7 linked regions of the Sus scrofa genome follow. The protein of the gene in region 3 purifies or fractionates together with the protein of the main gene of each other region. This does not show direct contact. Links are inferred from orthologs where the notes say so. Each region holds a gene or a part of one and is shown on either strand. Other genes may lie near its edges.

Region 1 (4,080 bases), on a different chromosome or scaffold from region 3:
CTTCTCTCTTAAGAACTGCTTCTATCAAATTACTTAGATTTGTACATTTAGCATTTATCAAAAGACACGAATTTCACTGGAAAAGGTTCTCTCGGACCAAGTGCTGGGATGTTTTGCTTTCCCCACAAATCAGTATATTTTTCTTATGACATTGTGAATCAAACGCCTGAGCTCTTCTTACTTTTAACCACCTGGGAATCAAATCTGTGGCTGAATTTTTTTTTTTTTTTTGTCTTTTGTCTTTTTGTTGTTGTTGTTGTTGTTGCTATTTCTTGGGCCGCTCCCGCGGCATATGGAGGTTCCCAGGCTAGGGGTTGAATCGGAGCCACAGCCACCGGCCTACGCCAGAGCCACAGCAACGCGGGATCTGAGCCGCGTCTGCAACCTACACCACAGCTCACGGCAACGCCCGATCCTTAACCCACTGAGCAAGGGCAGGGACCGAACCCGCAACCTCATGGTTTCTAGTCGGGCCCGTTAACCACTGCGCCACGACGGGGAACTCCTGTGGCTGAATTTTTAATATGTCTCATACAAAGTTCATCAAATTATAACATCCTCCTTAGCCTTGATTTGACCCCTTAATTTTGCTTTGTTTGTCAATTAATTATATCCCTGTAAGTCACACCAAACCTTTGAGAAGTCACATGAAGAAAAATAAATACAATCTAATGATCTTCATAACTCTTCCACTTACCTGCATATTCATATAGCCATCTACAGACACCAGGTAGCCTTTGTACTCCATTCCCCACTTAAGTTTCACCATCACTGGCTTCCCTGTTAACCCATTGAGGAAAGGTTTGGGATTGAGAGGCAAACTCTGCAAAACAAAAACAAAAAAAGAACCCAACTGAATAAGTTTCTTTAGCTTGGTTTCTATTACCTACTCTTTTCTGCCAAATTACCAATATGCTGTGGTATCCAAATGAAGCAAACTCTTGACTCCATCTCACGTTATTACATAATTTTCACTTTTATTTGTGGAAGAACTTCAAAGAAATATCCAGCCAGTCAATTTCATCAACCCCATCAAGACTTATTCAATGTTCACTTAAGAAACATTCACTCACTGTTCCAAAAATATAATGAAACCAAGGAAAAGGCAATAGAAAAAAAAGAAAAAAAAAAAAAAAGGCAGATGACAGTCCCTGTCCTTAAGAGACCTACAGTGGGAGGGAAGGGTCAAAACATACACGAGTGGGCAATTACTTTGTAATGTAGTAAGAGGAGAATGCTATTACATGATACCAAACAATCCAGTGTTAAGAGAAATGGAAGAGTTGCCTGAAGTAAGTAAATGCCTGTTTTAAAGGATGACAGATATTTCCAGAGGGAAAGAGGCTATTCTAGGCAGAGGAGGCTACCTATGCAAAAGGAGGGAAGAATGACTCGGCAAGGTGATCTCAGGGACATAAAAGTTAGTTTTGTATGAAGTTACTGAAGAGGCAGGGGCAGATCATAATTGAGTCTCTCACTATGAAAAGGTAGGCCTGGATCTTATTTGACTTAGCAGTGACTCCTACATATAGGCAATCAATCACTTAATGTTTGTTTATTCAGCAAATGCAACAGTATCTCCAACGAATTCAGACTTTTCCCCCTTCCTTCATCTGTTGGCCCATCCACCCAAAGAGAGAAAAGAACCAAGAAACTTGGCTACTAAACCCCTCTAGGATAAGCATACTCAGAGTGATCTCAAATAGTTCTATGGTCTTCACTCTTTTCTTTCTCCAATTTATTAGCCACACGGCAAGTATTTTTTATCACATCATATCTCTACCTAAAATGTTTTGATGGCTTTCCAAAGTAGACCCGGGAGTAGAACTCAGACCTCCTAAAACTGCCTAATACTTGCCCAACACTCCATCCTAGCAAGCAGCTGTGGCTTTCTCTCAATTCCTCCAACTGGTCAGGCTTTCTTTCGAGGCTCAGAGTCTATGCTCATGTTTCCTGAGCTTGGTGTATACACTCTTCCGCCTCTTTAAGGGTGTGTATTTCATATCGTTTAAGTTTCAGGTTAAATCCCTTCTCCCAAAGATGCCATCCTTAAACACTTCTAACGTAGCATGGTACCCCCTCATAGCATCCTGTGTGCTTCCTCCTTAGCACTAACTTTATTTGAAATTATGTATTTGTCGTTATTTGATCAATGTCTCTCTCTCTCTCACACCGACTTAAACTGGAGCAGGGGCCACACCAGTACTTCTCGCCCTATAGTCCTAGTTCCTAGAACACACCTGACAGGTAGCAGGAGCTCAGTAAAAATTTGCTAAGAGAACAAATGAATGCTCAAAGCTCGGGCTCAGTATTCCAAAGGGCTGCAGGGCTTCCCAGCATCACCAGACAAAAGCGGATTTTGGAGTGCTGTAAGCTGTACGTGAAAAACCGCTTCATCTTTACTCCAACTCTGTGGTCCCAGGCAGCAAGAGCAGCTCAGGCTCAGATTCAAACGAAGAAGAGGGGGAAGGGGACATTCCTAGGGAGGGGAAGGAGGGCGTGCGTCAGACACCCAGAACTGGCAGAAAGGGGCTGGCCACAGGCTGCGCGGGGCCTCACGCGGATGAATGGGAAACGCGCGAAGGCCCGGCGAAGCTGGTCACCCGCCCTCCCGCCCTCTCTCTCTCTCTCTCTCCCCCACACGGGCGACTCTGACCTTCTCTTTCTCCTTACCATCGCGACTACTGCTGCTGTAGTGGGCAGATGCTGCAGACTACCCGCCGCCGACTCAGCGCCGTCCGGCCCTCGTGGACTGGAGTTGGCTACAGCAACTTCCCAGCCACCAAGCTTCCAGAGAAATGGCCGCCAAATAGCAGCGTGACCTTTCCCCTCCGACTACGGCTCTTCCGGCTTCTGTGATTGGATGCAAAAAGATGCGTGCTGATTGGCGGAAGTGACTGGGGCCTGTCTCCTGGCAACCAGCAGGCTCGAGTTTCCGAGCGCCTTCCCGGCGGGGGCAGGAAATAGGAAACCTTCAGCAGCATGGGTCTGATACCTGCGGCACTGCAAAGGCAGAGAGGTGGCTCGAGTTGCCTGTTTGCTCGCCTGCCTCGAGGGTTTGCTGTCTGTCCTGCAGAATGGACGTGATTTCTCGCCAACTTGGCTGGTGGAGTTTCCTTTGGCTTTGCACACCTGGGAAAACGAGCTCGGGGCTCTCAAGTTTCTTCTTCATTTTCCCACAGATCCTGAGCCATGGGGACTCCTCTGCCACAGTCCCGTTCTACCTGATGGCTCTCTATTCTGTAGTGCTCATTTCACCCCATCTCAGAGGAAGTGGAAGAAGCAAGACTAGATAGACTTAAGGAGGTGAAACGCACCGGAAGAAAGTCAACTGCAGAATATTTTTCAGATGAGGTCAGACAGAGACTAAAATACGGTGTGGTGGCCTCCCGGTCCACCTGTTTCTTGTGCTTTGCGAGCAGAGGCCCACTACAGTCCTCATACTGGATTTATTTTTTTCAAATATATATATATCTAAAACATTTTGGATATAAATTTATATACATGTAATATATATTATAAATAAATTGCATATAAATTCAGTATAGCTGAATTACAACATTGTGCCAGTTTCTGTTGTACAGCAAAATGACACAATCATACACATATATACATTCTTTTAAAAAAATTTTTTTTTCTTTTTTGTTTTTTGTTTTTGCAGCCCTAAGGAGTTGAATTTGAAATTGAAATTTATGGAGTTCCCGTCGTGGCTCAGTGGTTAACAAATCCGACTAGGAACCATGAGGTTGCGGGTTCTATCCCTGGCCTTGCTCAGCGGGTTAAGGAGGTTAAGGGTCCGGCGTTGCCGTGAGCTGTGGTGTAGGTCACAATCCGGCTGCGATCCTACATTGCTGTGGCTGTGGTGTAGGCCGGTAGCAATAGCTCGGATTAGACCCCTAGCCTGGGAACCTCCATATGCTACGGCAGCGGCCCTTGAAAAGACAAAAAGACAAATAAGAAGAAAGAAGAAAAAATTGAGATTTAAATGTTGCGGTATTGTGGAGTAGTGGCTAAGACTTTAGAGGCAGTCTGAGTTTAGAACGTCTATCACGTGGGAATGGTATTGGGCAGTTTCTTAAC
Region 2 (4,094 bases), on a different chromosome or scaffold from region 3:
TAAGGTGTATTGCAGCTATCACCAGGTTTAGACAGACAGCCGGGGCTTGCCCCTTATTAGCTGCAGGACAGACTGTAAAAGGGGGATAGTAATAATCCCTATTTAACAAAGTTACTGTGAAGAATATGGAAGATAATACCCACATAGAAACTACCTATTCTTTGCACAAGGAAAAATTAAGAAATATTTTATCTCATGCCTTATCCTAGATTAGGTAACCAGATACCTTATAATAAATAGTCTACTGGTACTATATCACATTTCCTTTTATTTATTGTGTCATATGAATAAAAGCTGATTAACCTCCCCTACCCCAAGCCTGCTTTTGGAATAGATCTACAAGCCCTCTATCCTGGCTCAAAGAGTTGAATAAATAGCCACTGGCACCGGAGTTCCCGTCGTGGTGCAGTGGTTAACGAATCTGACTAGGAACCATGAGGATGCGGGTTCGATCCCTGCCCTTGCTCAGTGGGTTAAGGATCCGGCGTTGCCACGAGCTGTGGTGTAGGTTGCAGAGGCGGCTCGGATCCTGCGTTGCTGTGGCTCTGGCGTAGGCCAGTGGCTACAGCTCCGATTTGACCCCTAGCCTGGGAACTTCCATATGCCACGGGAGCGGCACAAAGAAATAGCAAAAAAAAAAAAAAAAAAAAGCCACTGGCACCAAAAAAATGTCAAGGGGCAAAAATGCCATGAGCAAGAATTACAATCAATTCTGCAAAATCAACCAAAGGCACTCTCTAGCCACTCAGAGCTGAAATGAACTTGAACTGTCCCAAATTCAAAAGTCATCACATCCACCCTAACGTTCCTTAATGGTAGCACAAATTAGTGACTTCTGCACATCATGCACTGTGGTATGATTTAAAAATGCAGCATAGTTTCTGGGGGGAAAAAAAAAAAGAGAGAGAAAGTTCCTTTGTGGTGCAGTAGGTTAAGGATCTGGCATTGCCGTAGCTGTGGCACAGGCCACAACAGCAGCATGGTTCATCCCTGGCCTGGGAGCGTCCACATGTGGACACAGCCAAAAAAAAAAAAAAAGAGAGAGAGAAAGACATCAAATTGCCAGTGTTGACAAAAATTTGCTTTTCTCGCCTTTGTGTACTTGATGCAAAATAACTACCTTTTGTTGGAGTACACCCAGTTTGGTTTACAGAACTTGAAAATTATAACCTAGGTGACTGGCTGAACAGCCATCTCCTGACCATAGGAGTCTGCTGTGGATGGCCAAGTGTTCCTAAACGAAAGGAAAGATCAGAGGAAAAGCTTAGTATACACTCACATCCTTCTCCTGGATGGTGCACTCCTTACAATAATAGGCATCTGAAACTCCCGGGCCTCCGCAGATCACACAGCGCCCCTGGTAAGAGCCATAGTTACACTCGTCACATATGCGCACCAGGGTGCAGGGACGCACGTAGGAGTCACAGATCACACACTTGCCATCACCTGTAAGGAAAAGAGGTTGAATTACGCCCACTTGCAAGTACCTCAGGTCCTCTTCCTGCTATGGGTAAAAACACTATGTCCTTCTGACAGTGACTTTAGCCCTCTATTTTGGCATTATAAAATTGGTTTACCTAGCGTCCATTTCTCAATCTCCCCAACACATAGGAAAGCTAATCAATTAATATAAAGGGCTTAGAATAGCAGTCGGTAGATAAGTCTATATAATTGACTGGCAGAATGCTGTGTGTGTTGGGGGCAGGGTCATGCTACTTCTGGTCCAAAGCTAGAGGTTTTGTCAAAACCTAAATACAGTGCCTAAAATGTACAAGTTGGAGCGGGAAGGTGGCCTTTAGTTGCAGTCTGGCTTTGTATTAACATGCTTCCAATCATGTCTATCCAAAGCCCTCTTCGTGGCACCGCTGAAAATGTCCGTTGCTGCCACTATAGAAGCTGAGTGGGAGGGGTGGGCTGTTTGGAGAAGCGTGTTCCACTCACATTTTTCACACAGTCTTCCAATGGCTGCAAGATCAAAGGTGATAAAGAGTACAATTAGGATTAAGGTTTAGAAGAGGGGACAAAAGCCTCGAGCTTGAGTTGGGGACAGGTACAGGGTCTGCAGTGAGCCCTGAGAGGTCTTAACCATCGTATTCTCATAAACTTCAATCCGAACCAAATCCGCACCCTCGTAAGACCTCCCAGGTCCTGGGAAAACTGAGAATTTCTCTATCTCCGCAGCCCCTCTCCAGCTCTCAGCACGCGCGCCCCCGCCCCCCTTTCATCTGAGCCCACAAACCCACGCGCTCCTACACTACCGGCGGCGAGGCGGGAAACGGGGCGCCTCCGAAGCAACACCCTAAAGGAGTAATGGGAACCCCGGACTCTTAAGGTCCTAATACCATCCCCACCCAAACAGCCGGGGGCAGAAGACCGTCTCACCAACACCAGCCTGCTTGCGGCAAAAAATCAAGTCCGGGTGATGCTTAGCCATCGCTCGCGCTCAAACCACCGGAAGCTTAGGGAGCTTCCGCCAGACCTTTAACCCTGATTGTTCCTGCCTCCTCGTCGCCCTGATTGGTTCTCTAGGCGTCCATCAGCGTTTGCAATCTTTGCACCAAGCCCCGCTCATTCTCGCGTGATCAAAGCACTTAAATTCCGAAGACGAATTCCCGTTGGCAGTGGGGGAGTCAGGTCTTGGTAGGGGTGTGCGGGTCATTTAGGGAAAAAAAAAAAAAAAAACTTTCCCAGATTTGAATGGGAGGGACAAGTTGCAGAGCGCAAAGACGAAATTTGCACTTTGATATCTTTGTGCCGGGTATTTACTACCCCAACTTTTTAGGCAGCTCTCTCCCAATTCCCAGGTTGACTCTGGAGCTCCGCCCACGTCGCTCGCGGGAACGCCTTCAGCGTGACGCGTTTCTCCTCAGGTCACGCCCCTCACCGAAGGCCTTAAATAAGCCGCGTGTCACGTCACTTTCAAGCGACCTCATCTTTGTCAGTGCACAAAATGGCGCCTTACAGCCTACTGGTGACCCGGCTGCAGGTGAGCGAACCGAGAGCCCTCTAGGTTTACGGGGGCGGGGTACCTCTTTTGCGCTTGCGGCTATGGGCAAGGCAAGGCGAGGCGGGCCTGACCTCCGGCCGACTTTTCGCGTACCTGTCCCTTGCGCGGGCCCAGCGCAAATACCCGCTCCTCTGGCGCCCGAGGTCAGGGCGTCCCCGGCTCAGTCAGCTCTCAGCCCTGTCCCCGCCCCGCTGGAAGCAAGGGCCTAAGAAGCGGCGGCCGGGTGAAGAGTGGAGGCACGTCTTTCTCATTTTTGAGGACCGCAGTTTCTTCCCCCGTAAGGCTTTTTTTTTTTTTTTTTTTTTTCCTCCCCCGTTCCTCAAGGTGAGGACAAGGTGACTGGGGGGCGCGGTGGTTGGTAAGCGCGCTAGGCCCAGAGCCTGAAGGCCTCACTTTTCATCTCAGTAGCACAGAGTTGCTAGCCAGGTGCATCTACGGTTGCCAAACATGGAGTCTGTAGGGGGGGAAAAAAAAAAAACTATGACCTATTCCATCTTGTGGGGATCCTGCGGAACATGTACCCAAGAATTCGAGGGGGTGGGTTCCGTGCCCAGATGTAGCAAATAGTAATGATGACAGTAGTCTCTCAGCTTTGCACAAGATTGCAAGACTTAATTCCTCACCACATCGTTTGATTCATATCATCATTTCTGGAGATGATTATTTTTATTTGATAGGTGATGACGCTGTTAGAAAACAGGTAAAAGTTCTGCTCTCTGAGTCTTACCAAAGTGCTGTGGCCTGAGCATCTGCCCTACTACTCCCCATTCTCCTTGTCCCTTTCAGCCTGCCCTCACAGAACTTTTTGAGCCAGAGTGTGGTCCTGGAGCTGACATTTGTATTTGTGGGAGTTCCAGAATGGCGTATTTTGAGCTCACAATCAGTTGCTTTTCAGTTACTAGATGGGGAGGGTAAAAGAGACTCAACAGTTTGACCTTGACTGTCCTCTTTTGAACCATCTAGAAGATTGACTGACTGCCATTTCTTTTTTTTTCACTCCTGACTTGACAACCCTAGGAAGATGTTACACTCAAAGGTTCAATGTCAAGAACGTATTTCGTTAATAAAAAATCAAGCAAGCATTCTC
Region 3 (3,500 bases):
ATAGGCTCTGGGCACACGGCCCAGCCCTGTATAAAAACACCCCATTTTATTCCAAGGGTGGAACACAGGAAAACAAAAGCATACTTGCTGGCACAGGGGTAGCTTTTCAGTTGGTGGGGGGAGGGGGAGGCATGTTCCCAGGGCCTTCGGAGGGCAGTGGGGGCCTCAACATCGGAGGCATGGGAGTTGGGGGATGCACCCCGGGATTTGAGGGGTGAACTCCAGGAGGCTGGGGGTGGACTCCAGGAGCTGGAGGATGGACCCCAGGAGGTGGAGGGTGAACCCCAGGAGGCTGGGGGTGGATCCCTGGGGCTGGTGGATGGACCCCAGGAGCTGGTGGATGGACTCCTGGGGCCTGGGGGTGAACTGCTGGAGCTGGTGGGTGCACCCCTGGGGCCTGGGGGTGAACTGCTGGAGCTGGTGGGTGCACCCCTGGGGCCTGGGGGTGAACCCCAGCAGATGGGGGAGGATGGACCCCTGGGGCTGGAGGGTGGACCCCAGGAGCAGGGGGATGGACCCCAGATGTTGGGGGGTGGACCACTGGTGCTGGGGGGTGGACCCCAGGAGCTGGGGGATGCACCCCAGGAGCAGGAGGGTGCACTCCAGATGCTGGAGGATGGACCACTGGGGCTGGGGGGTGGACACCAGGAGCTGGTGGGGGTAGCTGAGGAGGGCCGGGGGGCCCCGAGGGTGCAGGCCCACTGGGCGGCATAGGTGGCAGAGGCAGGCCTCCAGGTGGAGGCGGGGGCAAAGACTCTGGCAGTGGAGGCCTAGGAGGCAAACCATTCATCAGCGGGGGTGGGGGCCGCTTCACCCCGGGAGGCCCGGCAGGGAGGCTTGGTGGGGCTGGTGGCTTTTCCATCTTAAAGTGGAACTGGAGGAAAAACTGGAGAGAAAGGAGAAGCTGAGTGGGGCCCCTTGGGACCTTGAACTCCTTCTGGAACTACCCTGGCCTGGAGTGACTCACCTGCTTGGTTTCCCGGTTCCAGTGAGTCCAAAACTTGCCTTCAGCCTTGTCGATCTCCCTGCTGGGAACCTGCATGGGGCGGGGGGTGGGAGCAGAGTTCGGTTCTGGGGCAGTAGGGCTGGCTGACATTCTTGCTCCACTGCTTAGCAGCCCAACAACCCTATAAGTCAGGTCTTACGCCATCTCATTAACATCATGAACCTGGAAACCGGATGTGATCAAGGAACCCCTCAACAGCCCGGCAAGGGGACATATCACTGCTGGGGACACATAAGGGTCTCTGCTTCCTGGCAGACACCCACATCAGGACACCCAGTCCCCCACCCCACAGGGGCTGGCATGCTACCTTGAAGGCAATGGTCTCATAGGGCTCAGCGGCCATGAGCAAGTACTGCCAGCGCCGGTCTGGGGGTTCAATCCGCTGCTCGTAGGCTGACATGAAGCGGTGGCGGGGTGTGATGCCCTCAGCGACCTCAGGGTAATCAATCTGTGGGGACATGACCAGGTGGCAGCACCATCTTTTGGGGGCCCCCATGGGGCCGGAGAGGAACGAGGAGACCTTCCCCTCAGGACAGGGACCCCAGGGCTTTGCTCACCTGGAACAGGAGGCTCTGCTGGCCCATCTCTGTGTCCCTCTGCTTGGTCACTGAAACAGAGGAGGGTCTCAGGGCCAGGCTGGCCTGAAGCTAAGGGGCCCCGGGGCTGGCCTCATACCACCCACCACCAGGAGAGTGGTCTGCAGGGTGGTTGCCTGGCTGGTGAACAGTGGAGTCGCCTGTAGCCAGATGGGCACCGCCCAGGGCCAGGGGCTGGAGTTGGTTCCCCACTGCTCCCACAAGACCTGGGGAGCACCTTGTGGGTGGAGAAGCCTCACTTTAGAGCTTTGGGTTGCTCTCCACACAGCTCCCAGGCTCTCCACCACTTCCCCCACATCTAGGAAGGGGCCTGAAGGGCCAGCTCAGCTGAAAGGCCTTTGGTGGCCTCTTTAGGGCCTCTGCCTGCCAGCCTAGCCTGGGTTCACGAAGTAGGCCTGCCCCAGAACCTCTGCCATCATGTCTTGCCTTCCTTGTCACTCCCAGAAACATGATCCCTGAGGCTCCAGCAGCCCCTTAACTGGCTTCCTGGAGCAGGTGGTCCAGACGCTGCTGCCCATGCAGACCCTCACCCTTCCCGCCCCCCCTTTTCCTCAGGTGGAGGAATTGCAGCTCCGAGGTTAGAGATGAGGGCCTCACCAGGGTCTGCTGCTCCTCTGGTCCCCAGGGGAACCTTTCTGATGGGAAGGGAACAGAGCCGCCCCAGAAGGGTGCTGCTGTGGGTGTGGGCAAGTGAGGACTGTGGGGAACAGTAGTCTGCATGACTCGGGGCTGGGGCCCCCTTACCTTTGTAGCCTGGGCGGCCAATCTTCACAAACTTCTTCACCTCCACCTTGACCTTCTCTGGCGCCGGCTGGGCGGGGGCCTCCTTGGCCTCCTTGGCTGCTCGCCGGGCCCTGCCGGGAGGAGAGATGCGGTGCTGTGGCCCCTCTACACAGGCCGCCAAGGCCATGGACCCAGGTGCCGGGAGCACCCCACCCCCTGCCCGACCTTGAGGCTGGTCTTGGAGGTGAGGGGGTGGGGTCAAGTAGGGTGAGTGCAGGAGGGGCGGGGTGAGGCACTCACAGGTTGGTCTGATGCTTCTTCCCTTGGGTGTGCGCAAGGTAGCTCCCCTAAAATGTGAGAGGGTCACACAGTTCAGGACTCTGAGTGGGAAGTGCCCGGGTGCCTCTGACCGGCCCAGGCCAGCCTCTATCTCCAGGCTGGCACTGGCAGGCCAGGGTGCAGGTGAGGCCTGGTGGCCTGTGGGTAAATCCTGGCATGGATGTGCTATGGGGCCCCGAGATTCTACCTTGATGACCCCCACATGTCAGGTGGTCTCCACTGGGGGCTTTCTGACCCCCCACCCCAGGACACCATGCCCACGATGGTCCCCCACAGAAAACCAGCCCCAAGGCCGTGGGGGAGACCCTCTCATATGAGACTGTTCAGTGCTGCACTGAAGCCTGGAGCTGTGAACCAACTGGAAACAAACCCAGTGCTAGATGGTGAAGGACAGAGGGAACCTCCTCGTCATGGAGGGAAGGAGCCCAGCGTGAGCAGCAAACTAGAGCCACACTAGCCAGACCTCACAACCCAACACCCCTTGGGATCTCCTCATGGAGATCCACTCAAGGCTGTGGTGCCTAGTGGGGCAGGATGGGGGTTGGGGCAGGATGGGGGTTGGGGCGGGATGGGCCGCACCTCATTGTTGTGCAGTGTCAGGCACAGCTTGCACTCGTAGGAGCCCAGGTGGTTCTTCATGAAGTAAGGGTCCTGAGGGGGAAGCACAGTTGTCAGATGGTGGGTAGCATGCTGCCAGTGGCTGGGCTGAGGTACAAGGCCTGCCTCTGTTCCTGAATCCTGGCTCTCCTGCGGTTGGCACTGAGAGGGCACTGAACCCTTTCAGGAATGTCTCAACGCTGAGCCTGAAGAACCCTTAGTTGATTATCTCAGAAAAT
Region 4 (4,003 bases), on a different chromosome or scaffold from region 3:
TTCAAGTACTTCCTTTGCCTGGAAAGCTCTTTCCATTTTCTTTGCCTGGTTTGGCTCAGGAATGACCTCCTCAAGCAAGCTTTCCTTCTTTGAATACAGATCCTATTAAAGAAGGAAAGAAAGAAAGAAAAAAGAAAGAAAAGAGCACTGAAGTATGGTTACTCTCCTCTATTTGTGATTAAAAATGAAAGCAATACCAAACTGTAAAATGTAACTCTTTTATCTTGTTTTTTTTTTTTTTTGTTTTAGGGCCACAGGTGTGGCATATGGACATTCCCAGGCTAGAGGCAGAATCTGAGCTACAGCTGCTGGTCTAAGCCACAGTCACAGCAATGCAAGATCTGAGCTGCATCTGCAATCTACACCACAGCTCACCACAAGGATGGATCCTTAACCCACTGAGTGAGGCCAGGGATGAAACCTGCTTCCTCATGGATCCCAGCCAGGTTAGTTACCCCTGAGCCACGATGGGAACTCCTATAAGTCTCTTAAATGACACACAACTGTATATATGTAACTGAATCCACTTTGCTGTACACCCAAAACACAACATTGTAAATCTACTCCGAAATAAAAAAAATTTTAAATAATAACTTATATGAATGCTAGATTTAGACTATCGTCTGCTTATGATTTTTCTCTCATGCATCCTTTCTCTCCACGCACCCATTTTGCAGACGCCTTAAACAGACTATCCAACAACCCCACTGCTGGAATCTCAGCTTGGGTCAAAAGCTGCCCTGCTCTGCTTCTCGGCACCACTGCATTTTAAAGTAACTTGAACAGACCGCAAGTTTGCCTTTCCCCCTAGGGGATGAGAGCCAGAGGTGGCGGGAACACCATCTTTGTCCATGGAGCACCATACCTCAGCCCACTCTCCTGTTGGCTCCAGGTTTACTTGAGTCGAAGTAAAAACTCCTCCCGGCTGACCCATGCATTTCTTCTTTAAGAAGGCTTTCCCTAACTCATCCAGCAAGTGCAACTAGTTCGCGCCTATCAAGGGCTGGCACTGAGAAAAGGGTGCATTCCAACCAGCCCTGAAAGCCTGGACAAGATTCCCTAAATTCTCCGGCGGAGAAAGCAACCCGCCAGGGAGACGCCCACAGATATTCAGCAGAGTGGGCAGGGCTGGAAAAAAAAAAAAAAAAAGAAGACCGACACCGGAAGTCACGTGGCCACTTCCCCTTGAATAGTCGGCAATCGACTATTCAGCCTTGCAGGCGCCTCTGGCGGGCTGTGTTGAGATCCAGTCTTTCGGCGTTCGACTCGCCCGTGCTGCTGCTGCCGCCGCCGAAGGAGGGGCAAAGCTCAAGATGGCGGACAAAACGCCAGGCGGCTCTCAGAAGGCCAGTTCAAAGGTAATTTCTTAAAGGACTTCGTGAGTCATTGAGTCTATCACTGTCGTCTGGAGACTACAGACACTTCTGGCCAGCGGGAGGAGATTGGGGTGGAAGTCCGCGTTCCGGTCGCGACGGTAGGCCGGGGCGCAGACGCACCGTGGTGCGCAGGTTGAGAGGCCTGGTATCTCCCCTCGGTCCCAGCCTGGATTCGGCTCGAGGCTGGCGGGCCCGGGGCAGGTGGCATGAGTAGTTCGCCCCGCGCTTACCACTGGGGTGAAGTCAGGGATTTACACTGAGGTCTGACGCCAGGAAAACGCGCCTCTGTATTTCAGCTTGTTGCGCTCTGAAGCTCCGGGACAGAGTCTAGGAGAGGCGGGAATCACTTCCCGGTACTTAAGGTCTACTTCTCTTTCCTCGGTTCTTTGGGGTTTGGATCTCGTACGCTTCTGGCCTCCTTCAATTTCCCTCACGTCCTGCAGGGAATAAATAATCTCTAGGGCTGCAGATTGTGAGGGGAGGCCCTATAGTGGAGGGACGCGGGGTGGGAAATGCAGAGGCGGGAGCAGTTCTCCTTTGCGGTGCTGCATCACCAAGGTTAATGCTACGCTCTACACGTGGTCTTACCTCCCTTAAGGGGAAGTATGAAATGAACGCTTCTTTGGAGGGCTCATTTTCGAGGACTCGGGGTCCTCATCACCTCCCGAAAGGAGAACTTTCATAAGTTGCTTTTGAGTGTACAGGGAATCGTGTGCAAGTATTGTGAAACCACTGAGCTGTGGGAGTAGTTTAGCTTTAGGTTGTGATTAGCATCTGGCACCAGTTGCCATCTTGGACGGGTCATTTAATCGTTTTTGCTTTGAGTTTCTTTTTCAAAACGATATTAAAAGTAGTAGATAGTGCCCAAAGTAGTTGTTAAGCTTTTCTATGCTGATGTAAGAAATTGTGTAATACACATCTTAAAGAGTGTGTATGAATTGCAAGTCGGTTACTAGGAAGTTAAGTTTACTGTAGACGGGGCTAGTTCTGTGTGTGCAGTTTGTTTTGGGAAATATAACCTATTATATACTTGCTTTCTCAGTTTCTAATCATAATCTTTATGCCATTTGGTGCATGACGTCTATAATTAGTTCGTAATTAGTAATGGATTTACCAGAAATCCTTTAGTTGTGTGGAGGCTATGATAGAAGGCCAGTATTGGCTGCTTTACGTTCTGCGTTTACTCCTTGTTTCTCCTCTCCCCACTTAATTTCCCCTTGATGAGGAGGGGAGTAGTTGGGTACATCACTCTGCCCACTTCCTCAGCAGACTCATCAGAAAAACAGCCCTGTTTACTGTTAGGGAACGATTACCAAAGTTAGCCACATCCATAAAATTCACCGGTAAGCGTCACTATTTTTGTTTCTTCTCAAAATAATACTTTAGTATCTCCTATTTGAGGCCTTGGATACATTGAAAACATTTTAAAGCATATGTTCAGCCTTCTCTAAGAGTATTTGTCAGGGTTGTATATGGCTTTTTTTTTTTTTTTTTTGGTAAGTGTAAATTGTTGAATCTGCCAGGAATCTTTTCAGTTTGTATTGCTTTAGATTATCGTCAATTGATGTGATTAAGAGGTTTCCTACGATGTCTGTAAAATATAGTAGGGCTCAAATGATATGGTTTTTTGCATTAATATGGAGGGTACACGAGGTAGTGGAGAGATTATGGATTTTGATAACAAAGTCGAGATTTGGATTCAAATTCTGACTTGGTACTTTATTTATGATGTCGCAAATTGCTTAAACTTTTGAGCCTCAACTTCCTTGTTGGTAATGTGGATATAATCTCTTTTTCTACAGGGTTGACGTAAAGGTTAAATGAGTGAATAACTCTTAGTTCCTTTGCTTTTCCCTTTTGTTCTTAGAGGAAATGAAAAGTATTTACTTTTCAAAATATCAGGATAAGTTCTAATGCTGAGATTTAGAATCTAGGTCATTAGTTAACATAATGACTATCCACATTGCTGCTTTTTATTTCTAACCCAAGTCCAGAATTTATTGGAGAGAGTTTAAGATCATTTTTGCTAATACTTTCAGTACTTGGAATTTCTAGCCTTTGCTCTCTAGTTTGATTTCCTTTCCTGTGGGGAGTTTAGATGAGTGAGGATTATTCTACTACAATACAGAGGGAGTGAACAGATTCTTCAGTTTTGTGCTTTCTTACTCTTTGTTAAATTGTAGTTATTAAATTCCTATTGATATGGTCAGAGATGCTTGTTAATCATACTTCTAGACACTGAGAAAAATGTTAAGCTTAAAAATGTACAAGGGAATGTAATGTACAGCATGGCGACAGTCTTTAATACTACTGTATTGCATGTTTGAAAGCTGCTGAGAGTAGATCTTAGTTCTCATCACAAGAAGAAAACTGTAAGGCAAATGGCTATTAACCAGGCTTATTGTGGTGATGTTTTTGTAGTGTATACAGATATTTAATCATCATGCTGTATACCTGAATCTAATACAGTGTTTTATGTCAATTATATCTCAGAAGAAGTTTTAAAAATAAACAGATTCTTGCCAATGACAATGGCAAAATTATTTGATGTGTCTTAATTATAACATGTTAAATTAGCTAGTTTCTTCTTGCTTTTAAAATTGTTTCAAGTATATGTAGTCAAATGA
Region 5 (3,968 bases), on a different chromosome or scaffold from region 3:
TTGATCAGGACCCTGAAATCCACTGGCCTGACTTATACATATTGAAGTTTCTGTATTTTTTTTACAAAATAACATACTATTGAAACCTCATGCAAGTCTATTCTAAATCTAGAATTTGAACCTGAAAATATTAACTCATCTTAATTTTGCCCAGGTAAGCTCTTTCAGAATCTTGAATCTGGGCCCATTTCAAATAAGCTTCATTTGTCTGCCATTCTAATATCCCTAAAATAGTAACAGTTTAAATGGGCAAGAGAATGATATAAAGGGAAGGAAAGAATTACTTAGATAGAATGAAGATGATTCAAGTTTTGTTTTGAATCAGTGAAGACAGACCATCTAATCAAAACACCTTTTAAAACTTTTCAAAATTCCAGTTCAGAATTTTAAGTTCACAAATCTCTTAAGATGAAAAGTCACACATATTTACGAATATTATATAGGGTGTTTTTACTAATCAACCTAGTGTTCTGAGAAAATACAAATATTTACTATAATTATGGTTTTATGTTTTTCTTGAAACCCCAGAGCAAGTTCTAAAAAACAGGTTTAATACTTACTGAATGCTCCAATGACAAAAACAAATTAAAAATCTCCTTTCCCATAGGTTTGGTTTAATTTCAAGTTGTTAAAAAGGGTCAACAACTACATGTTAAACCTAGCCTTAAGTTCAAACATTACGTAATGTTTACGCAGAAAACAGGTTACCTCTTTAGGTATTTTTATAATGTGTTTTCAATACAAGGCACTAGAGCTAGCTTTATTATATACATGCACACACAGTCTCTTTTGCACACTCCTGCTCATGCACACTCTCTCTCTCACCCCTCAATTTCATTTTCAAAGAATCTTGTGTCATTAAAAAGAATTTTAATTAGGTTATATTTTTCCCCTTTAAATTTAGTTACCCTTTGGACAAAATTTGCTTTTCCAGATCTTTAAAAATAGAAGTGCTAGCCATTGTAAAGTTATATGTACCTCTTTCTCTAGAAAGTTTGAGATTGACTTCTAAAACTAACTCGCTTTTAAAACTTTTTATGAGCGTACAAAATTGACGTAACAAAAAACAATGTTTCAATCATTTTGATGTACACAAACTGAGGAAGCAATCCTACTCCTGGAAGCCATGTATGCCTATGTGCATACCCACATGTACATACAAGAAGTGTGTATGTGGAGAGAAACACTCCCTCCAAAGAGTGTTCTGGATACCTACAGATTCTAGGCAATAAATCATTTGTAAAACACAGAAATATTCTTTTCAAGCAACATAACCATAAGTGTCCCCTCTTACTTACCTGTAAATCTTTCTTTAATTTTAGCAAATCTTCATTTTCTCCATTTCCAGAGAGAGCAGCTTCAACTTGTTGGAGTTGAGCTTTGTAGCTTGCCAGCTGCTTTGCTAGATCCTCTGACATCTGGGGAAAATGAAAAGAGTAAGGCCATAAAAACAAAACCAAAAAACAAACCATAAAAAATAATTTTTCTCTGTCTGAATTAACCCTTACCAATTTTGCTCCCAACCCATTATAATTCATTGTAGCTTAATTTATCTGTGTTACCTTTACTTTCAGTTCAGAGAAAAGTTGTGAGCCAAACCACAAACTCCAAGGCAACAGACGCTCAAGATTATAAACATATCAGAAAAACTCCATATAGTAACAGAAAACAAAGGTAAGAGGGAAAAGGAGACTTTCTAATTTTCTTTAAACTCTTGTTAACAGGGAAGACACACAGGCTCAGTTAACAGGGTTGTTATATAGTCACCAAAAGAAAAGGGGGAAAAAGTACCAAACTGTTAAAAGAGGCGAGACTTTATTTTTTTGAGCGCTAAAAAATACTTCCCAAACCAAATATAAATGGCTTTTAGATTAACTACGCAATTAATTCTCTCCACAAGAGCTATCCAATTAATACGAGTGTGTTTAGAAACTCTTCTCCAGAGCAAAAATCTTTCATCCAGTCGCTTAAATATTGCTGATGGTTTTTCTTCAGTAAAAGAAACAGCACAGATATTTTCCTTAGGAATTCTAAAGAAACGTGTCGTTCACCAAATCCCGCTCGTTCTTCTGAAAATAAGATAGGAGAGAATTCTTTCCCGCTTTCTTAGCAAACACAACGGGTTTCCGAGGACCCGTCTGTCTCACAGTTCTCGTCCAACTACAGCCCAGAGTCTGGAAGGGCTCCAAAGAGGTTAGAGCGAGCCAGGCTGTTCTCCCTCAGTGACCAGTACCTCAAAGCCCGCCACAACTTGCTCTATTATTTCAGACCTCGAAATTCAAACAGCTTCCAGGGAAACCGAAACACGAACGGAGCGGAGGCCAGCGGAGCCGGAGCCCCACACCCGCAAACACGCTCCGCACCGAAGGGCCAGGGCGTCTCTAAGACGCCTCCCGCGCCCCTACCCCACCCATTGGGTGCCCAGGATTAGTCCAACCCGGTCCGAGGCCGTTCCGGGCTCAACTCTAGGTGGGAGAAGAGACCGCGCCCCTAACACTCTGGCTAGGACCCGGGCCCTCCAGCGCGGCTGGCTGCTGGGCCTCAGGCCTCCGCTTCAACTCGGGAGAGGCCGAGGCCCGACGAGGCCTCACTCGCTCCCTCGTCGGTTTGTTACCTTGTGTGGGGTTGGGGTCGGGGCAGTGGGAAGGGGTCGGGGCAAATGAGCCCAGTGGCGGTGGCGGCGAGAGTGGCAGCAGCAACAGCAGCAGGAAAAATCTCAGCAGCGACAAGCTGTCTCGGTCTGAAGAGGGAAGAAATCTACCGGCCGCGAAGAAGAGTGGACGAAAACTGGGCACTGGAAAGAGGAAAAGACAGAGGCGGGTGAAATCTCGCGAGTAGTTAAAAATCCTCGCGAGACGTCGCTCGATCACGTGATTCCTGGTACCCTCTAGACTGCCTGCATTTAATCAGGTTAGGGACGTGAAGTGGGCGGGGTTACTAAGGAAGGAAATGGCGTAACTATGATGCACAAGTTACCGGATGTACGTTCGTCTTGTCTCAGTTCTGGCTCAGTGAGGGGAGCTTTTGGATTGTTAATTTAGGGGTGGGTGCTGTCCGGCTTTTCCAGAGGTTCGCAGGGTGCTGGGTAGTGGGAGGAAAGGGGTTTAATGTAGCATTCATACTAGCGGTTGGTTCTCATGCAGTCGGGGTACCAGCCGCATCAGCATCGCCTGGTTTTTATTTTTTTACAATAATTTAAAATTTATTGCAAAAATTATTTATTACAGATTCTCAACCTCAGGCCTCTGAATCAGAAACTCAACTCTGAGGATAGGCTCAGCAACCTGTTTCATGGAGCCCTCCAAGTAATACCAAAGTCCGGGCAGGTTTGAGCTGTATATAATAATAAAAGTCTTGGAGTTCTCTTGTGGCGGCAGCGGGTTAAGGATCCCAAGGTTTCCGCGTTGTCAGTGCAGCGGCTTTCATTACCGTGGCTCGGGTTTGATCCCTGACTCAGCAACTTCCACATGGCTCTGGCAAAAAAAAAAAACAAACATAAAAGGTCTTTGTGGCTACAAAAGCGCTGATTAGGTTATGGCAGAACCCATTGGACAGGAGAATGGTTTATTTAAAACCCATTTGGGGAGTTCCCGTCGTGGCGCAGTGGTTAACAAATCCGACTAGGAACCATGAGAACCATGAGGTTGCGGGTTCGATCCCTGGCCTTGCTCAGGATCTGGGTTGCCGTGAGCTGTGGTGTAGGTCTGCTCGGATCCCGCGTTGCTGTGGCTCTGGTGTAGGCTGGAGACTACAGCTCCCATTCGACCCCTAGCCTGGGAACCTCCATATGCCGCGGGAAGCGGCCCTAGAAAAGGCAAAAAGACAATAAATTAATTAATTAATTAAAACCCATTTGGGGAATTCCACTGTGGCGCCCTGGGTTAAGCATCCAGCATTGCCACAGTGCTGTGACAGGTTGCTGCAGCTGCAGCTCAGATTTGATCCCTGGCCCAGGTATATTCCATATT
Region 6 (4,094 bases), on a different chromosome or scaffold from region 3:
CAGCTGATTTGTATAATGTCTTTAAGAAACCTTCTAACTATTTACTTCTAAACACCATTCTTCGGTTAACACATCTTCCAGGAAGTCTCTGTGTGGCACAGCGGGTTCAGGATCCAGCATGGCCACAACTGTGGCGCCGGTCACAACTGCAGTGCAGGTTCAATCCCGGATCCAGAAACGTCAACATGCTGCAGGTGCACCCAAAAACAACAACAACAACAAAAACCCCTCCAGGTATGCTTTTTTTCCCCTTAAAAAGAAACACGGTAAACATGGTTCTGCCAGAAGAATGAGGATTTTTCAAGATTCTACCTAAGCTGGCAAAGTATTTTTTACACATGTGCAACTGGCAGAAAAAGAATACAGACATCTTCTCAGAAGCATTCCACTCACTCACCTTTCAAGTGCGTCTCTGAAGCCTCTGTGACAACCCCCCACGTAAAAGCAACTGTCCCTGAACACGTGTCTCTCACTATATCATCAGCCCTTTAAAGGTAAGGCCTGTTCTGTCTTTGCCCATAGAAGCACCGTAAGTTTTACACCATAATTCATGGGAGAGAAACTCCCCTCACCATACAACTAATAATGAGTCAAAGTTTGAGCTCTGAGCACCTAAACAAGTGGACATGGTAAGAAAAGACCTTTTATCACTAAATAGACATTCATGTATCATAAATCAAAAACGAATCCTAAAGAACACGCCAAGTGCTAGACACATGGACACAAAGCAACAGGAAAGGCCACGAGGGTGGTGCATGCTGATGCCAACAAAAAAGACAGGTAATAAGAGGCATCGCTTCATGTGTAAGATGTGTGACTTCCTAAAGAATTTTTAAATGTTTCCCTGTACCTCCAGCTCTGACCCCTTGTCACAGTTTAATACTTCCATTCATTCTCATAGACGCTATAACTGCCCAAGTACATAGGCTGGAGTGTCCGTGAGTCACCTGTAACTCAGGTGTGTAAGAGAGCATCCTTCACTATCCACGAGTACGGAAGACTTGGGGAAGGAGTACCAGCCCTGACTGCTCCTCGAGTGTAATTTAAAACAAGACAGGTAGGAGTTCCCACTGTGGCCCGGCAGAAGGGAATCCAACTAACAACCGTGAGGCTGCGGATTCGATCCCTGGCCTCGGTTCAGTGGGTTAAGAATCTGGTGTGGCTATGGCCGTGGTGTAGGCCGGCAGCTGCAGCTCCAATTGGACCCCTGGCCTGGGAACCTCCATATGCTACAGGTGTGGCTCTAAATGGCAAAAACAAAAGCAAAACAAAAAAACAAGCCAGGTAAAGAGACATCCACTTTACAAAGTTGCATTTGGAAACGCAAGACAGTTCTCCAGATTCCTGTTTTCTGTAAAGTCTGTCCGCAGCCATCAGAGAGCCCCAGGGTCAGCTCCTCAGTGCCCACACCTCTCACATCTCCCGCCGGCTCACAGCCTACTCACTGTTCTAAACTGCACCGCGTCCATCTCTTGATAAGGTTCTAAAAAGAAAACACCCTCAGTTTAAGTTACTAATATCCTACACTCCCAAAATGTCTTTGTGTTTTATAATCAAAACGTCTGTGTCCTTCACCCCATAAAACTGGAAATTGACTCGCACTCTTTAAAAACTCTGTTGGAGGAGACGCAGTCCTCACCTACTTGAGGATGTTGCGTTTCGCCCTCGTCCAGAAGGTCCTACTTCCCACCCATCCGCCTGCCTCTAGCAATAAATCCCTTCCACGGCTCTCCACTACTGACTTCTCCCACCTTCTTGACCTGACCTGACCTGCCCTCTTCAAGCCTCTCTGCCTTTGCTGCAGTTTCCGAAACGCGCTAAGACGCTCGGCCTCTGCCGCTCTCGCACTTATTTCTTCTGCAGGAAACCGTTCCCCCATCTTGCACATCGAACCAAAGACCTCCAAGGTTCAGTTATAAGCCTCCTTCCCTCTTGGAAGCCTTTCCAGACCCCCCTCCAGTCCCTCAGATCAACCCATGCCTTTATGCTTGTTTCCCGAAAGACCAATCTTCCAGACTGCAAGGACAGAGGCTTATTTATCTTGCAGCCACTGTTCGTTGCTGACAAATGGTCTGGGTAAAGGGAGATGTTCAAAAGATGCTTGGCGATTGGACGTGAGAGCTGCAACGCCGCTTTGCACGGACGAGGGCAGCGCTAGAGCCGGAGTCCCGTCTTCCTGCGCGGCCAGGTGAACCCGGGTCTCTGAGAGATGTCCACACCTGGATTCCCCGCTCTGCGGCCGGGGGAGGAAACGGCTTCCTTCCTCTGCACCCTCCAACCGGGAGGGGTGCAAGCGTTCGGGGCCACAGGTGACCCAGGCCTGCCCACCAGGTCACGGACCGGGCAACTTTCCCCAAACACGCCCGCGGGGCCAGAAGAGACGAGGACACACAGACGGAAAATGAGAATCCGGGAGAGGAGACCGGGCCCGATAACCCGGGCAAATAAGGGAAAGGGGCGGCGGGGCGCGAAGGGAGACGCGGAGAGTCGGCCGGGGCCAGGCCGCCTGAGGCGAGGGGATGGCGGCCGGGGGACGGCCTGGGACCCCCGGCCCTCACGGCGCGGCCGAAAGCGGCGGCCTCGCGTCCAGCGCCGCCCGGGAGGCGCTCGCCCCCTGCCCCGGGCGCCACTTACCCGGTCCGCCCGGCCGACGCTCCCGGGCGGCCACGCACCGGGGCCGACGCGCCGCGGAGACGGCGGGCAGAGCGCTCGGCGTCAGCCCCCGACGGCCGGACCGCTCCGGCGCCAACCCCTACGCAGAGTCCGCGGGCCGCGCGGCTGCGCGGGGTCACGGCGTGTGCGGCTGGGAGAGAGGCGCGCTGCGCCTGCGCCGAGGACGCCCGCCCCGCCGCGCGCCCCCTGTCCGCGGGAGGACCTCATCGCACCGCCACCGCGCCCGCGTCCCTCTCTCCCGCCAAAAGATGTCGCCGTGTCGCAAGGTTGCCACATTTCAGTAACACCCCCTCCCACTCCCCGCCATCGGGAGGAGGACGACTGGTGCAGGGCTGCGAAACCATCCCGCCGTTTGGGCAAAGCTGAAAATAAATGACAATAGGAGAGGTGACTGGGAAAACGAAGGGCTTCAGAAGAAATGGCCCAAAGCGCTGAAGTAAGTGTAGGACTAAGGAAACACAGGGAGGGTGTGGATGTTCTAAAGCGTCAAAGTTTAAAAACGACATAACAGAAGCTGGGAGGAAAAAGAAGGTGGAGTTCTGTGTAAATACGATTCTCACATCTGCGTTCAAAACTGTAGGCAAGGCCTTGTGTCCCTGTCCTTTGAAATAAAAGGCTTTGCCTTCCATAAGTCTCGAAAGGCTGGTTCGGGGAACTCCCGTTGTGGCTCAGTGGTTAACGAATCCGACTAGGAACCATGAGGTTGCGGGTTCAGTCCCTGCCCTTGCTCAGTGGGTTAAGGATCCGGCGTTGCCCGTGAGCTGTGGTGTAGGTTGCAGACGCGGCTCGGATCCCGCGTTGCTGTGGCTCTGGCGTAGGCCGGTGGCTACAGCTCCGATTTGACCCCTAGCCTGGGAACCTCCATATGCCGCGGGAGTGGCCCAAGAAATGGCAAAAAGACAAAAAAAAAAAAAAAAAAAAAAAAAAAAGGCTGGCTCAAAAGGTAATGCTTGTGTGAACTGGAGTTTGGCACTTGCCATCAGCCTCTACATGGATTAAATCATGAGCCACCGCACCTGCCAACCCACGGCACCCCCTGAGCAGAACTCTGGGTGAAAATCAGAGAGGCACTCTGTGCTTTGGGAAAACTGCAAGCACAGTTCTTCAGATAGATATTTTTAGGAGAAGATTTTATGTGCCCAATTCTTGCAAATTTTCATATCTAGAAAAACACTAAAATCCTTCATGGGGATGTCTGCTCCTTGTGACCTTCAGGAGAGAGCAACAAATTTTGCAAAATGGGTGTGTGCTGTATGCACCTCCCCTCCCCTTTATCGTATTCTGGTATCCCCCTTTCCTCTTTATCATATTCTGATATCCCCCTTTCCACTTGGGAGCAGCATTGCAGAGCTACCTGAAATACCACCACTTGGGCTGTAGTTAAGGATAAAACAAAGAATGTCAGGGTCATCCATGAATGC
Region 7 (4,229 bases), on a different chromosome or scaffold from region 3:
GCTTTTGCCTCACATGTTTTTCTGATGCAATTAAACATAAAACTTTTCACAAGTGAACTCAAACTCCAGAACCACTAAAAGACAGAAAAACACGCACCTTGGAAAACAGAAAAAAAAATTCCAGCCAACACTGCAATGGTACCTAAGACTAGATCCTGTGCTAGCTCTACTTGAACTTAATCTTGTTACCTTGGGGAGACACTGCTAGAGGCTCACCTGACAGATGGGAAAACTGAGGCTCAGGGAGGTCATGTGACTTGCCCCTGGCCAAAAAGCAAGGAAGTTGTGAACACTGAAATGCCCACAAGTGCAGTTAAGCACTAGGCAATACTCAACATGGGGCAGCCAGAACACTCCAGGGTCTGGCGGGAGCCCCTAAAGACAAGCGGTTACCTCCTTGAAGACACAGACTGAACACGAAAAACAAATCCAAGCCTGGAACCAGGAGGCAAGTAGCATGAAGTAGCAGGTAAGCATGACACTGAGGGCCCAGAGGTGTGCTGGCCTGAGGCTCTGGGCCTCTGGCTCCACTCTTGAAAGATGGGCCAACTATAAAAACAGCGTCTTTTGTGGCTTTGGTTCTGAAACAGACAAGCAGGCAGAGAGGAACAGACACAGAGGAAGAAGTGGCGCCTGCTGGGTGCCTGAGACACAGACAAGGAAATTAATTCCCTGGAGACACAGGTGCACAAGGCAGGGACTGAGGCTTGGAGGAGGCTTGGACCACAGAGACAAAGACCCACAGGCACAACGATACTAGGGCAAAGCTTCCCCTTAAAGCAACAGTAGGTTCCCTGCCTCAACCCAAACAGGTCAGGAAGGAAAGGCAGCTGTGGTTACTCAAAACGCTGTGATCACTTTGTTGTGGGAACAACTCCACCAGCCCAAGGGACGTGCCAGTACCAGTGGGGACACCCAAGAGAAACCAAGCAGCACGTGTGCAAGTGCCCCAAGGAAGGTTCATTCAGTTCCATCTAGCAGTCCAGCCTAGGGGCACGTGGTTTTGCAGCCAGACTCAGGATCAGCTTCAGCTCTTCTGTCTACCAACTGCATAAAACCACAAAACAGCAACCGTACCTTCCAACCTCAGTGTTCCCGGTCTTTTAAACGACGCTCATCCCGCCCCAAGTGTGGGACATGGGATAATGACGCTGGGAAAGCACCTCTCCCTGCTGTCCCAACTCTGACACCACCTCTGAGGCAGCTCAGGGCAGCCTCTCCATTACCTTCCTAAGAAATTTCACTAGGGATCATTTCACAATACTCCTCGTTAGGCACTTAACGAATGCCAGACCGTATGCCACACACTGTACACACATTACCTCACTTAACCTCAGCTGCAACTCTCACCAGCTAAAACCAAAGAAAGTTTTTCAAGCTTTCTGAGCCTGCTTCCTCCTCTGCAAAGGAAAGGAAGTCATGTCAGTCCCCCACGGCTGTTGACCATCTACTTAAATAAGCCGTGTAAAAGCTTAGCAAAGCACTATCAGTACTGCCATCACCATTGACTCCAGAAACCGGTAATAAAGACACATACCTATTTAACAGCCACTACACACAAGAAAAGGATTAAAAAAAAAAAAAAAAAGCATAGACGTGTTAAAGTTCCACAACTACTTAGCAACAAAGCAGGTACTAGAAGCCAAGTCTCCTCCCCTCCAAAGCCTGTGCTGTGAAGCGTTACAACGTGTACAGACACCCCGTGGGCACTCCGAAACCCGACTTCGTCTTCCCCAGGCGCTGTCTCCTCCTAAACCAGCCACCTGCTCCCAACTGCAGACTGGGCTGAAAGGGGAACCCCAGCGCCCCCCGCCCCCTGTGCAGTCCTCTGACCACAAGGAGCTTAGGCCTCGCGCTCGCCACCTCCTCCAGGCCTAAGTTTGTTCTAACATTCGTGGGGTGTCCAAACTAGTCGGCACTAGCTCGGCCTCCTACTTGGACTCCGCATCACCGGAGGGACTTTGCCTCCCATCCTCCCAACTGAGCTAAGTCTCCCTACTCGCTCCGAGCCTGTCTCTTTATCGCCACGTTGAAAAGGCGGACACACGCGGCGCCCGGAGGGTGGGCTCGTACAGAACAGGGGACCTGTCTAACTGAGGAGATATGGGGGGCAGACACGCCACACTGTGCCTGGCGCGACGGCGCGAGGGAGAACCGCGTGCGGGAGGAACACTGAAAACGCACAGTGCGGACCTCTCCCAGGAGACACCGCATCACCCACGTTAGGCTGGAAGGGACCCCGGCGACTAGCCCCCAGGAAAGGCGCGAAGGGCGGCGGTGCGAGAAGGGCCCACACCGCGGCCCTGCATGCGCCCACGTGAAGGGGGGCTCCAACCGCCATTTTGGAACAAAGGGGGCGTGGAGACACCGGCCGCGGGCCCGGCCGGAAGCGGAAGTGCGAGGGCATCGGGAGAAAAGGAGGGGTTGCGGGACCCAATCTACATAATCTCCTTTCCAAATTAAAAAAATAGAAAATAAGTCCGCAACGGACTCCCGACAGCCTGCGGCGCCCGCGCCACCCGCGCCGGGGGCCACGTGGGGCGCGGAACCGAACGCGGCGCGCATGCGCCCGCCGCCCCCTCCCCTCCCGCGCGGCGGCACGCCGGGCGGTCACGTGAGTAAGGCGCGCACCGCGGGGTGGGGGGGCGCCGTGCGGGCCTAAGGGGGGGAAGCGAGGGGGAAAATGGCGGGGGACACAGGGGGAAGCCGAGAGCCGCCCCGCCCGCCGCCCCGCACCCCCGGCGCCCTCACCTTGCTTATTCTCGTTGAGCTGCCGCTCGAACTCGTCGAAGTCCGACATGCTGAGGCGGCCGCGTAGGGCCCTGTGTAGCTCTCGCCTCGCCTTGCCGCGCGCCCGATCCGGCCGCTTCGGCTACTTCCGCCGCTTGCTTCGGCTACTTCCGGCCGCCGCCGGCGTTCCACCGCCTCCTACCTAATCAAGCCCCTGCCGCCCGCCCAGCCCCGCCCCGGCTCCGCCCCTCTCCCCGCCGGCCCGCCCACGAGGCGCACCTCCCCCCAGGGCCTGGCTCCGAAACGCGTCGGCTATTTCCGGACCGTGGAGGAGCGAAGGGAGAGGCGACTTCGGCTGCTTCCGAAAACACCCGAAGCGAGGGTTTCGCAGGCTTCTCAGGTTTTCGTAACTTTTCGGATAGTAGCTCTTCAACGTTCGGATGTTTCCGTAGGTCCTCGCATTCCTAGCACCCAGACTCCCCACTTAGAATTCAGCTTCTTCCAAGAACTCAAACCGTCCGTCTTTGGCTGCTTCCACGGATTCTACCCTCTCTTTCCCAACGGCCCTGTCCAAGCAATCGGCCACTTCCGACAATCCTAACCGTCCCGGATTTCGGCACTTTCCGAAGGTCTCTGGCGCTCCCCCTCGGGCCCAACCAGAGATTAAACCCGTTTCCAAACTTCGGCTCTTTCCGGAGATTCCAAGAGCAACCTCCTCCCCCTTTCGGAGAACTTCGGCTCCTTCCGCCACCGCCTGGGGAAGGACTCACAGCAGACACCTTCGGCTTTTTCCGTGGGCGCTTCGGCTCCTTCCGGCTCCGGGAACCAAAAAGGGAGGGAGGACAGAGGCGAGGTGGGTCAGGGGAAAGGAAAAGAAGAGGCAGGGTCTCGGCTCTCAGCACCCGGCTCTCCCTGTGGGGCGATGGGAGGAAAAGAAGGACCGATGTTGAGAAGCGCCTAAGAAGGTTTCGCGAGACAAAAGCAGCCAGCGGAGTGAAGAGTGCGCGCGGCTGCTGCGGAGGTTGCCAGCGCGGCTTTGTGCGCATGCGCAAAGTGGAAGGGGCGAGCGCGAGAGAGCCTCTGCGCCTGCGTAGAGATCGGTCTGAACCGAGACCTCTCACTGTTCGGAGAGGGGGGGCGGGTCGTCGGGGCCACAGCCCGAGCGCGCGTGCGCGAGATTTCCTTCCTCCAGGGAAGGGACTACATTCCCGACCGTTGAGCAAGGCCGCCCCCTTGCGGTTGCCGTGGCAACCACACAAGCGAGCGTTCCCCCCCCCAACCGCGCCGACGCTGCTAGCCACGCAGCGGGCACTTCCGGGAGACAGAGAATCTCGCTTTACCGCCTCCTGGAGGCAGTCTCTGTTCAGAGCTCCCCGCTCCCCTCGATGGTCGCCTCTCCCAAAAGTCATTGAGTCCCGCCTTCTGCCGCCTTGCCTCTGGTCCAAGTCGGCTCATGCCTCCTTCCCGGAGTTCTGCTCCTCCGAGTTGTTCAGGGCACA

The links.
Region 1: the proteins of SF3A2 (region 3) and SNRPF purify together in Homo sapiens (affinity purification with mass spectrometry; 4 studies listed by BioGRID and IntAct, counting the BioPlex papers as one, with this or other methods). This does not show direct contact. The link is inferred for Sus scrofa from reciprocal best matches to the Homo sapiens genes SF3A2 and SNRPF.
Region 2: the proteins of SF3A2 (region 3) and PHF5A purify together in Homo sapiens (affinity purification with mass spectrometry; 5 studies listed by BioGRID and IntAct, with this or other methods). This does not show direct contact. The link is inferred for Sus scrofa from reciprocal best matches to the Homo sapiens genes SF3A2 and PHF5A.
Region 4: the proteins of SF3A2 (region 3) and U2SURP purify together in Homo sapiens (affinity purification with mass spectrometry; 3 studies listed by BioGRID, with this or other methods). This does not show direct contact. The link is inferred for Sus scrofa from reciprocal best matches to the Homo sapiens genes SF3A2 and U2SURP.
Region 5: the proteins of SF3A2 (region 3) and SMNDC1 purify together in Homo sapiens (affinity purification with mass spectrometry; 4 studies listed by BioGRID and IntAct, with this or other methods). This does not show direct contact. The link is inferred for Sus scrofa from reciprocal best matches to the Homo sapiens genes SF3A2 and SMNDC1.
Region 6: the proteins of SF3A2 (region 3) and RBM17 purify together in Homo sapiens (affinity purification with mass spectrometry; 4 studies listed by BioGRID and IntAct, counting the BioPlex papers as one, with this or other methods). This does not show direct contact. The link is inferred for Sus scrofa from reciprocal best matches to the Homo sapiens genes SF3A2 and RBM17.
Region 7: the proteins of SF3A2 (region 3) and U2AF2 purify together in Homo sapiens (affinity purification with mass spectrometry; 3 studies listed by BioGRID and IntAct, with this or other methods). This does not show direct contact. The link is inferred for Sus scrofa from reciprocal best matches to the Homo sapiens genes SF3A2 and U2AF2.

The regions. Positions count from the first base shown.
Region 1 is NC_010447.5:87,620,064-87,624,143, forward strand, and holds the start of SNRPF (small nuclear ribonucleoprotein F), read right to left. Parts: upstream 2,801-4,080; 5' UTR 2,677-2,800; coding exon 2,674-2,676; intron 824-2,673; coding exon 698-823; intron 1-697. UniProt on the Homo sapiens protein: Plays a role in pre-mRNA splicing as a core component of the spliceosomal U1, U2, U4 and U5 small nuclear ribonucleoproteins (snRNPs), the building blocks of the spliceosome.
Region 2 is NC_010447.5:7,069,851-7,073,944, reverse strand, and holds the start of PHF5A (PHD finger-like domain-containing protein 5A), read right to left. Parts: upstream 2,801-4,094; 5' UTR 2,435-2,800; coding exon 2,383-2,434; intron 1,966-2,382; coding exon 1,942-1,965; intron 1,447-1,941; coding exon 1,280-1,446; intron 73-1,279; coding exon of another isoform or gene 28-72; exon of another isoform or gene 1-27.
Region 3 is NC_010444.4:76,411,382-76,414,881, reverse strand, and holds part of SF3A2 (splicing factor 3A subunit 2), read right to left. Parts: intron 3,316-3,500; coding exon 3,244-3,315; intron 2,673-3,243; coding exon 2,626-2,672; intron 2,457-2,625; coding exon 2,347-2,456; intron 1,614-2,346; coding exon 1,564-1,613; intron 1,455-1,563; coding exon 1,314-1,454; intron 1,037-1,313; coding exon 968-1,036; intron 887-967; coding exon 107-886; 3' UTR 1-106. UniProt on the Homo sapiens protein: Component of the 17S U2 SnRNP complex of the spliceosome, a large ribonucleoprotein complex that removes introns from transcribed pre-mRNAs.
Region 4 is NC_010455.5:83,703,298-83,707,300, forward strand, and holds the start of U2SURP (U2 snRNP-associated SURP motif-containing protein), read left to right. Parts: upstream 1-1,203; 5' UTR 1,204-1,313; coding exon 1,314-1,358; intron 1,359-1,383; exon of another isoform or gene 1,384-1,474; intron 1,475-4,003.
Region 5 is NC_010456.5:120,736,862-120,740,829, forward strand, and holds the start of SMNDC1 (survival of motor neuron-related-splicing factor 30), read right to left. Parts: upstream 2,801-3,968; 5' UTR 2,615-2,800; intron 1,419-2,614; coding exon of another isoform or gene 1,299-1,418; intron 1-1,298. UniProt on the Homo sapiens protein: Involved in spliceosome assembly.
Region 6 is NC_010452.4:64,906,207-64,910,300, forward strand, and holds the start of RBM17 (splicing factor 45), read right to left. Parts: upstream 2,801-4,094; 5' UTR 2,635-2,800; intron 1-2,634. UniProt on the Homo sapiens protein: Splice factor that binds to the single-stranded 3'AG at the exon/intron border and promotes its utilization in the second catalytic step. Involved in the regulation of alternative splicing and the utilization of cryptic splice sites.
Region 7 is NC_010448.4:59,772,761-59,776,989, reverse strand, and holds the start of U2AF2 (U2 small nuclear RNA auxiliary factor 2), read right to left. Parts: upstream 2,801-4,229; coding exon 2,752-2,800; intron 1-2,751. UniProt on the Homo sapiens protein: Plays a role in pre-mRNA splicing and 3'-end processing. By recruiting PRPF19 and the PRP19C/Prp19 complex/NTC/Nineteen complex to the RNA polymerase II C-terminal domain (CTD), and thereby pre-mRNA, may couple transcription to splicing.